Linked DNA regions of Drosophila melanogaster. The protein of the gene in region 1 interacts with the protein of each later gene in a pairwise test. Each region holds a gene or a part of one and is shown in the gene's direction. Other genes may lie near its edges.

The links. Proteins that work in one complex are often made in the same cells at the same time.
Region 2: the proteins of CG8173 (region 1) and cg interact in a two-hybrid assay, tested with the Drosophila melanogaster proteins (2 studies listed by BioGRID).

What each region holds. Positions count from the first base shown.
Region 1 is NC_004354.4:17,706,859-17,711,234, reverse strand, and holds CG8173 (uncharacterized protein), read left to right. Parts: upstream 1-1,581; 5' UTR 1,582-1,793; coding exon 1,794-2,053; intron 2,054-2,587; coding exon 2,588-2,946; intron 2,947-3,022; coding exon 3,023-3,600; 3' UTR 3,601-3,834; downstream 3,835-4,376.
Region 2 is NT_033778.4:14,171,924-14,176,747, forward strand, and holds the start of cg (combgap), read left to right. Parts: upstream 1-1,769; 5' UTR 1,770-2,523; coding exon 2,524-2,649; intron 2,650-4,482; coding exon 4,483-4,619; intron 4,620-4,688; coding exon 4,689-4,768; intron 4,769-4,824. Other genes in the region: ReepB (receptor expression enhancing protein B), read left to right, coding at 367-599, 661-760, 824-885; mRpS16 (mitochondrial ribosomal protein S16), read right to left, coding at 1,108-1,380, 1,446-1,562.

The sequences.
Region 1 (4,376 bases):
TATTGAATGAGGTTACACTACAACCCTATATTTCACTTATAAAACATAAATTAGAGAGATATTCACTATGAAGTCTATGATGTTATATGTATGTACATATGTAACTCCCACTCACCGCAGACATCCAGCCATCCTTCGATTCTGCTGGGGTAGGAAATCGTTGAGGACCGGCTTAAATACGTTCGACGTCCCATTTTGTGGGGGTGGTAATTTTGTGGATTTGGTTTGGGTGGATGCTGTGTTCTCACTCTCTCGGCTTTTCTCTCGCGCGCTCTCTGTCGAGCGCTCTTCTCCCCTTTTTGGCTCTCGCACTTATCGTTTAGCTTATCGACTCGGCTCGTTGAGTTGTTGTTGTTGGTGCTGCTGCTTAATTTGAATATTGATTTTGTTTGTTCTTGCTGTTGTTGTTGTTGTTATGGTTTTTATTGCACTTGTGCCTTATGGCGATTTTGGGGGTTATTGTAAAACAAAAGATTAAAGCAAGATTTGTGGCAATTTCAAGAGCAGGTTGCCGCCGCCTTTGTTGTAGTTATTGTTATTATTTGATTTTTAACGATTTCGTTTCCAATTCCACTCTTTGTTTTAATCACCATATTTCCTCTCTCGCTACACCTGATTTTCGATGTTTTTGGCGTTTTTCGCTGTTTTTTCGCCGTAACAGCTGAGTGGCATTTTTGCGGCTCCTCTTTTCGTTTATATTTTCGGTTTCTTCTTTAGTTATTCATGTTTTTTGTTGTTGTTAACACCAGAAACCAGTAAAGAAACTTTATTTTGCACCTTACATACGCGTGTGTGTGTGCGTGCGCGTATATTTAATTCTGGTGTTTTGTATTATTTTTAAATCACGAACTCCGCCAAGCATGTGTATATTTCGGTTTTTTTATGTTTGTGTGCGTGTGTGCCCGATCCAGAATATTAACGGAGTTGTTGTTGCTGTCGCTTTGTGTTTTTTGGATGTGACACCCTCCCACACCGCACGCGAAAAAATAAAACAAAAAATTTTAAAAAACCCGCGGTCTGGATTTTCACACACGTCCGCTTTCGAATCGCCGCGCTTGTGTGCGATTCCACTGGTGTTTCTCCACAGACTGCCGCCTCTCTGCACTCCTCTTCTTTATCGCATCTCTGCTTTGGCACGGCTTTCGCGCCAATTGTTGGTGTGAAAATAATACCAACGAAATGCGGTACTTCTGTGTCGGTTGCTGTCTGGGTAACACGCACCTGTATGGGTTCGCGTCTTGGCTAAGTGTCATATATTTAATTTAAAGCTTAACGGTACAAAACGACCGGTATTAACATGGAAAATAGTGTTGCTAACTTTTATATATTAAAAACGGATATTTGTTGGCCTTGTATTAGGTACTCCATCCAATTTCGTTGCCAACATTATGGAACTGGATTCTATTTCTTATAATTCGTAGTTAATTGGAATTTATAAGGAGCAATTTGAATGCCAACGACTAAATATTTAGTACTGCACGCCGGTCCACTATTCAGTGTGACCAGTCGCACAGCGCCCTAGAACAGCAGGCGTGTGTTTTGTTTTTCAGTTACTTCAGACGGAAGTTTATAAGCTATTACTTAGTAGAGTTTGAGTGCTCTACAAGGCAGTAACAAGAACATTGCGCTTAGCATCTATTTTGCGATTAATTCCAGTCAAAAGAGACGCCACGGTCACTCTATCGCCTAGGACCAAACACAACACCAACACTGTTGCATTCCATTTACAGTTTAAACGGTGTTTTGTGCGCGTCGCTTTAATTTTGGTTTAATTGAATTTTACTATTGCTGCGATGGACACGCCACGCCGCAAGCTAAGAAATTTGCACCTGGAGAATGTCCAGAACAGCAGCACTCCCATCAACGTGCCGCCATCGCCGATGATGAAGACCCTGGGCCACGGCACTGGGATCCGGGTCTACCGCTTGGACCGCTCGCCTCGTCTCGGCGAAATCCGCTCGCCCTGGGCCGTCAAGCGGATCACGCAGAACATGCGGGTCAAGAAGGATACACTCTTCAACGAGCGAATTGTTCACGAGGCCGATATCCTGCGGTAGGCTCATCCAAATCCAGAAGCCCAATCAAATTGGCAGTATGTGTCGGTGTCCTGCGTGTGGGTGCATGTGTTTGTGCGTGTGCGGATGCTGAATGTGCGTGTGTGCTAGGGTGATCCGATATGTGGGTCAGCAATTCATTAGGGTGGCCCACAGCTGAGCAGCTGCAGTCCATGCTCGCTAAAATACCCCATTGTAATCTAGGCTCACTTCGAATTGAATAGATCATCCTTAAATTCCAGCTTAAAATGTTATTTTGCATATATCCCATCTTTTAAACAAAAGAATCTTTATTAGATTACAAAAATTATAGCATTACCAAACAAAATATTCCAAGTAAGATCCTAAGTCATCGCACTTCAGCCGGGAAACTCAATACTAGTAAATAAAGCTATTATTAGATGTACATAGTTTTTGCTTCCAATGCATCGAGTTACCTACAGGTGACTGCGTAAAATGTGCATTTTTTATACACACTACGCAGGATTGCTGTAATAATTGCCCCCTATAAACAGCACCTTTTGACTTTACAGCAAACTGAAGCATCCAAACATCGTGGGATTCCGTGGCGTTATCACCAATGACGAGGGCATCAACACACTGGCACTTGAAATGTGCACCACTTCACTGGGCTCCATACTCGAGGAGCGACACGACGAGGATCTGGGCCCGTTGCCGGCCAAACATACCTATAAGATGATCATGGACGTGGCCCAGGCACTAGACTTTCTTCACAACGAAGCTCACCTCATGCACGGCGACCTTAAGTCCTTTAATGTCCTGGTCAAAGGCGAGTTTGAGATTTGTAAGCTGTGCGATTTTGGAGTCTCTCTTCCGCTGGACGAGCAGGGCGAGGTTAATTTCCTAAAGAATCCCGGACTGCGCTATGTGGGTGAGTTTACTGACCCCATATGATATAAATAATTTCACATTCAGTCAAATTAACCACTTATGTCTTAATATTTTAGGAACTAACCTCTGGTGCGCACCGGAGGTCATAGACGAAGTGGATGTTATTGACAGCAAGGCAGACATATTCAGCTTTGGCCTGGTTATCTACGAAACCCTTGCTTTGGTGCCTCCACATACCTTGGAGCTTGATGCAGCACTGGGAGAGGATATGGACAGTTCGCACGATTTACCCACCGACACGGACAAGCTGCAGTGCAAACAGTTGGACTTCTCCAGCGATGAAAACAAGAACGGACTACCTTCTGCAATGGAAGAACACACAGACAACGATATGAGTCAAGATTATGACGAGGAGGATGATGAGGAGGAGAAGGAAGAGGAGGAGGAAGACGATGAAGAAGATGATGACACGAAGGAGAACGATATCTCTTACTTTACACTGAATAACCTTCATTCCGCCTATGGTACACGACCACCATTGCCAGTGGCCTTTCAACTTAGCGACGATTACAACTGCGTCGTGGAGCTGTTTTATCTGTGCACAAATGCTCTCAGCGAGGATCGTCCAGCGGCCAAGACCATTTGGCAGTGCCTGGAGAACAATGGCGCAAATGTTGCGACAGAAAGCGATTAGACTGATAATCATTCTCAGCCTCCGAACTCCACAATCTTCCTCTTGAATATAATTTGATTAGATGACTCATTTTTGTTTTGAATGTACAATTAATTAGCTATAATTTTTACCCTGTAAGAACAAACCAATTACGGTTAAAGCCCCAAAACGCGAATGCACACTTAAGCAAATTGTACATATTCAGCAAGCAAAAGAGTGGTCGAATAAATCGAATCCCCAAATGGAACAAAAACTATATCGTTAACTGGTTTTTTAATTCGCAGTCTTCAAAAGGGTATATGTAAGATCTTTTTTGATTAAGGCCCGGCTAATGTATTTAAATTGATTTTTGTAAGCTAAAAATAAGTGAAAGCAATTCAGTTGAATTGAAAAGTATTGCTTACAGAGGGAAACAATTTTTTCGTTTATAAATGCAGGAACCGAATATCATTTTTAACTTTTTTGTATACTTTAACGCCTCGAATTGGTTGTGATATAAACAATAAACTTACATTGTTTTGCTATAGCCTCCCAGGAAAAAACCAATTACACACCAGATCGGTTACAAGTTCTCTTAGGTTTATTAAAAAATAATAATACATACATCAAAATATAAGGTTTTCTTTCGTGATTTGCTTTTCGGTCTTTTCAGTTGCTTAGCGGGAATACACATTAGCTTTTGTATATATATATATATACATGCGTTTGCTTGGAAATCGGGATATTCTGGCGACTTTTGTTCGATGTAAGTTCAGATTTCTCGATAATGCAAGGGTATATGTGAAATGGGTATATGA
Region 2 (4,824 bases), on another chromosome or scaffold:
ACGGCATGGGGCGGTTTAAAAACCCCAGGGATCCACGAAGGGGCGCCCTTGAAAGCTGTACGAGCACCTGGCACTGTGCCCTTGGAACAGTTAGTCTTGTAGCTAAAGTTTGTAAGTGTTAACTCCATCTGATCACCCTGCGCCCTGTGGAACCGCTCCTGCCCTTGGACCTGCTTATAGCCATAAGGGAAAATGCGCCACTAGGGCAATATCAATTGACCAACTAGATGGCGAACATGGCAGTCGAGGAATTAGAGAGCAAAATTGTCCAACTGTTCGTAGAGAACCCCCTCCTGCGCTACGGTAGAGCTCCAGCAGTGACTTAATGCTATTTACTAATAAGGTATTATATTTCATCATATGTAGGTGCTGTTGGTCTGTGCGCCATCTACCTGATCTTTGGCTGGGGCGCCCAACTACTGTGCAACATCATTGGGGTTCTGTACCCTGCATATATTTCCATCCATGCCATCGAGTCCAGCACAAAGCAGGACGACACCAAGTGGCTGATCTACTGGGTCACGTTTGGAATCTTCACCGTGATTGAATTCTTTTCGAGTCTGCTAACTTCGGTGATTCCCTTTTACTGGCTGCTGAAGGTGAGCTTTGCATTCTTCACATATAAGAATCTTCTTTTAAATGCTTCAACTCCACATGTAGTGTGCTTTCCTCATCTGGTGCATGCTGCCCACGGAACAGAATGGTTCTACCATCATCTACAACAAGCTGGTGCGACCCTACTTCCTGAAACATCACGAATGTGAGTAAATTCACCTCTTAGATATTGCAATTTTACTAAAAGGAGATCAATATTTGCACACAGCCGTTGACAGGATCATCGATGATGGCATGAAGAAAGCCGCTGGAGTGCTGAAGCATGACTAGAAGGCGAATGTACCGTAGCTCCGACCGCTTCTCGCTTATCCATGCATTTGGTTTTGGGCCTGGTCACCAACCTCACCTCGTATTGGTTACGTTTTGCAATAAATTTTAATTCTGTATTCATTTTGTTGTTGATAAGAGCACCAGTGTTCGCTGAACCAGAAGAAATCTCCGTTTGTTAAACGTAAAAACGAAAAGGAGGCTTTTATTGAGGCACAACTATATTTATGCGGTTGATTCCGCCTTTTCTGGCGACGCCTCCGCTTCAGCAGCTGTCCTCCGGTTCCGCCAGGCGGTCATGTAGGTGCGCGGGTGGATGGGCAGTAGTCCGGCAATTCCCAGGAGTTCTGCAGCCGGCGTGGACAAGTGTGCACCTTTGCCCAGCCAATAGCGAATTCTCTCCGTGTTCAGGGCCACCAGTCGTTCGTTGTAATCGTTGGGCAGGGGATCAAAGGAGCCCACCTGCTCGATGACAGGCTGGTGCTGGTTCTTGCGCCTCTAAACCGGAAAATACAATTACCAATTAAAAGTTTTAACCATTTTAATGGCCTAAAAGTACGCACCTCCATGACGACAATGTGATAAAAAGGCCGATTGGTGCATCCCAGGCGTACGAAACGTATGATTTTTGCCGACTTGGCGTAGAAACGACCAATGCCACTGGCTGGCGATAGAGACATCCCGATATTTTATATATCTAATACAAGTTTTGGCATAAAATAAGGATTCTTCAATCAGAAAATGTGAATTGTTATGCAAAGCATGACCGTTGAGGGAAAATTTAACAATACCAAGCGATTGGGTCACACTATTAGTTAGCCCTAACAGCGTTGCCACCTCCGACCGCCCATGTTAGACAGTTGCGGCACCTCGACAACCCTGGCCTGCGCACACACAAGATGGCGTCAGAGAACGAGAAGCACGAACACTAAGGAATTTGTTCAGTGGTGTCTGTGTCTGTGAATTATATTGAAGGAAAAAGAGTGTTTTGTTTATAAATTTAATTGCAAAAACTGCACATCGTCACACGGGGCGCGTGCACACACATCGGCGCACACGCACACCCACGCCAAGGCGACACCTAAACGCAAAACGGAGAGTGTGTGTTATCAATGGAGTGTGTGTTCCCCAACGCCAAGTGAATTTTTTTCGTTGAGACCGAGGGACGGAAAAAAATGGCGCCCGCAGCCAGAGCAACTTGACTTTCTTTTCGGTCCTATATAGTTAGTAGTTGCTTGCCCCCGTCTCGTCGTCGGCGAGCGAATTCGGTGATTTTATTTCGATTTCGTCGCAGTGCGATATCCCCAACGAAGAAAACATAACGAATAATTGATGAAAAAGTGCTTGAGAGAGACCCCCCCAAACGTATTCGAATTTGTTGTGTACATTTTGGCTTCGAACACAGCCGCAAAAATACCATTACCAATTTCCACTTACTACTACTAGAGAGGAGGATAGTATTTTGTACGTGCTTTAGAATACATACATACATACCTACATATACCACAAGCAAGCGAGAAGTGCAATTACATTTGCGTTTGGAAATTTTGCGCTTTTTTCTCTTCCGTCCTCCCATCCAAAAAAAAAAACCCCCCGCTCCCCCTCTCTCTCTATCTTTCTCAACCCGCATTGTGCTAAATAATGTGTGCCGCCCAGAATCCGCCGCCCTTCGGCTATACCTGGGGTTTTGCGGACAACGGCAACCGCGCCGCCGAATCGGTACTGGAGATATCGCCCAACATCAACTATACAGTCAGCGGGGAGTCGGTGAGTCCAAAGTTATAGCTCTATTAAACTGATAAACCCGTTGAAAGCTGCCAGTCTGAGGATATTTCCCCCCTGTTGCCGACATTGCTCCAGGTGCGTGCGTGTGTGGGTGTTGGTGCTGCTGTTGCTGTTGCTTTCCCACACCGAATTGTGTTGTGGCCCACCAATGCATACACACAAACGCACACACGCACTGCGTTACACTCGCTCACGGACTCGCTCGTCTCACCAACACTCGCTGCTTTCGGCAACGAACTGTGTATGTATACGGCCCGAATGGCATTCACGTATACGGTATACGTGGAAAACGAGCGACAGCAACTGCGATATACATACTTACGTACATGTACAACGTATATATGCATACGCCACACGCTTTATGTAACTGCGTTGTCATGCGAATATACGAATATGTACGAATGAACGTACGTATGTATGTTTTTATGGGGGGGATGGAGCGAGTGTATTAGAATTCTTTTAGCATACATCCATACGGATTTTTTTCGTTTCCATTTCATTCGTAAACATTCATAATTTGGTATTTGTAAAACGAATGCGTACACAATTGGCTCTGTGTGCGGAGAAATTCCCAAAATACAACACGCGCACCTGGCGAGCAAGTAAATAAATAAATAGCAATAAATTCCCCCCACAGGCAAATCGGAGCAGTTAATTAGCGGGAAGGTCGTGAAATTTTCAAAAGTCTGGCAGCTGGTACAGGCAATCGATGCTAATCGATATTTTTCTAGGCTATTCATGCATATATCGCTAACCTAATTTAAGTTCTATTAATAATTATTGCTTATCCATAGGTTTTTTTGTTGTTTGTTTCTTTTTTTTTGAGAGCAATATTTTTTGTTGTGCAATTGACAGGAGAAATTGTGTTTGTTGTTTTTTAGTTTATATTTGCGGGCACTTATACAATGGCAAACGCGGCGAATTCGCCGCACTTGCGCGCCCGATATCTCCGCATGTGTGCGTCAGTGCCGAATTCGCCGCGCTTGCTGCCCTCTGTATGTGTGTGTATGTATGTATGCACGCACACTCGACCAGAAATGACGTGTGCTCCCCAGTGTGCGTTTGGTGTCGTGCGTGTGTTTTGATTACTTTTGCCGCACCATTTTGGCGCCCATCACACACACTCCCATGCCACGATGTCCAATTGCACTCACACACATACAGAGTGAAAAAGGCGCGCTTTTTGCGAACATCCCCTCCCGCTCTTAGCGCCCAACTTCCCCCCTCGTTCGTCGTCTATCATCTGTTGCCGCACTGCTGGCTGCGCAGGTGTAGCGTGGTTATTGGCGGTTATTATCAATCAGAGCGAAAACAAAAGACAAGCACTTGGCCAATAGAAGCATCAACCGCCAACAACTCCAAATCACAGCCTGCAGATCTTAGCGAGTGGCGACTGTACTTGCTGCCAAGTTTTAATTTCCCAAAAAAAAAAAGGTTCATGAAGGTCAATTCATTCATAAGTTTGAGCTGAACAATAAAACTGCTACAAGTTTACTTCCTCTCATTTGTTTAAATCGTTTTTGGGACATTAAAATTGTAGAAATGACTAGGGGCAATGTACATAGATTAAAAATTATTTATTATTCTTTTATATAAAAGAGCCTTTGTTGTTTGATATGTAACATTTCTTGAATGAAAGATAGATTTATAAAAAAAATGTGTAAGCCAGGCTTTCCTAAAATCGCAATTCCCAGGACCACGTGTAAACTAAACATGCAACTCCTACAACATAAGCATTATTAAGTTTATTTAGAAATTAGGACAAACCTTTAATTTATCCCCATTAGCCATGAGTACTAAAAGTCTTTGTTCCAGATGCCCTATCTACTATCGACGGATGGATCATTGGCAGTTCAAAAGGATGTCAAAGGCCTTACAGCTGGCGGCAAAAATAATGTCGTTCGTCGTATGTTCGTCGTAAACGATCCTTCATTTCCGCCTGGAACACAAAGGTGCGTTGGCGCTCCAGCAGCCCAAAGAGATCCCCAATGTACATATACCTAATTCTCAATCCCTTGCAGAGTTATCACTGCCGGCGGAGCATCGACGGTGGTCAAGAAGCAGGACAACAATCAGCAGGTCCTGAGCCTCGACAAGAACTGTAAGTGGATCGATTCTAAACGAATCAAAAACCCATCGAATCGATTCAGTGTTGCA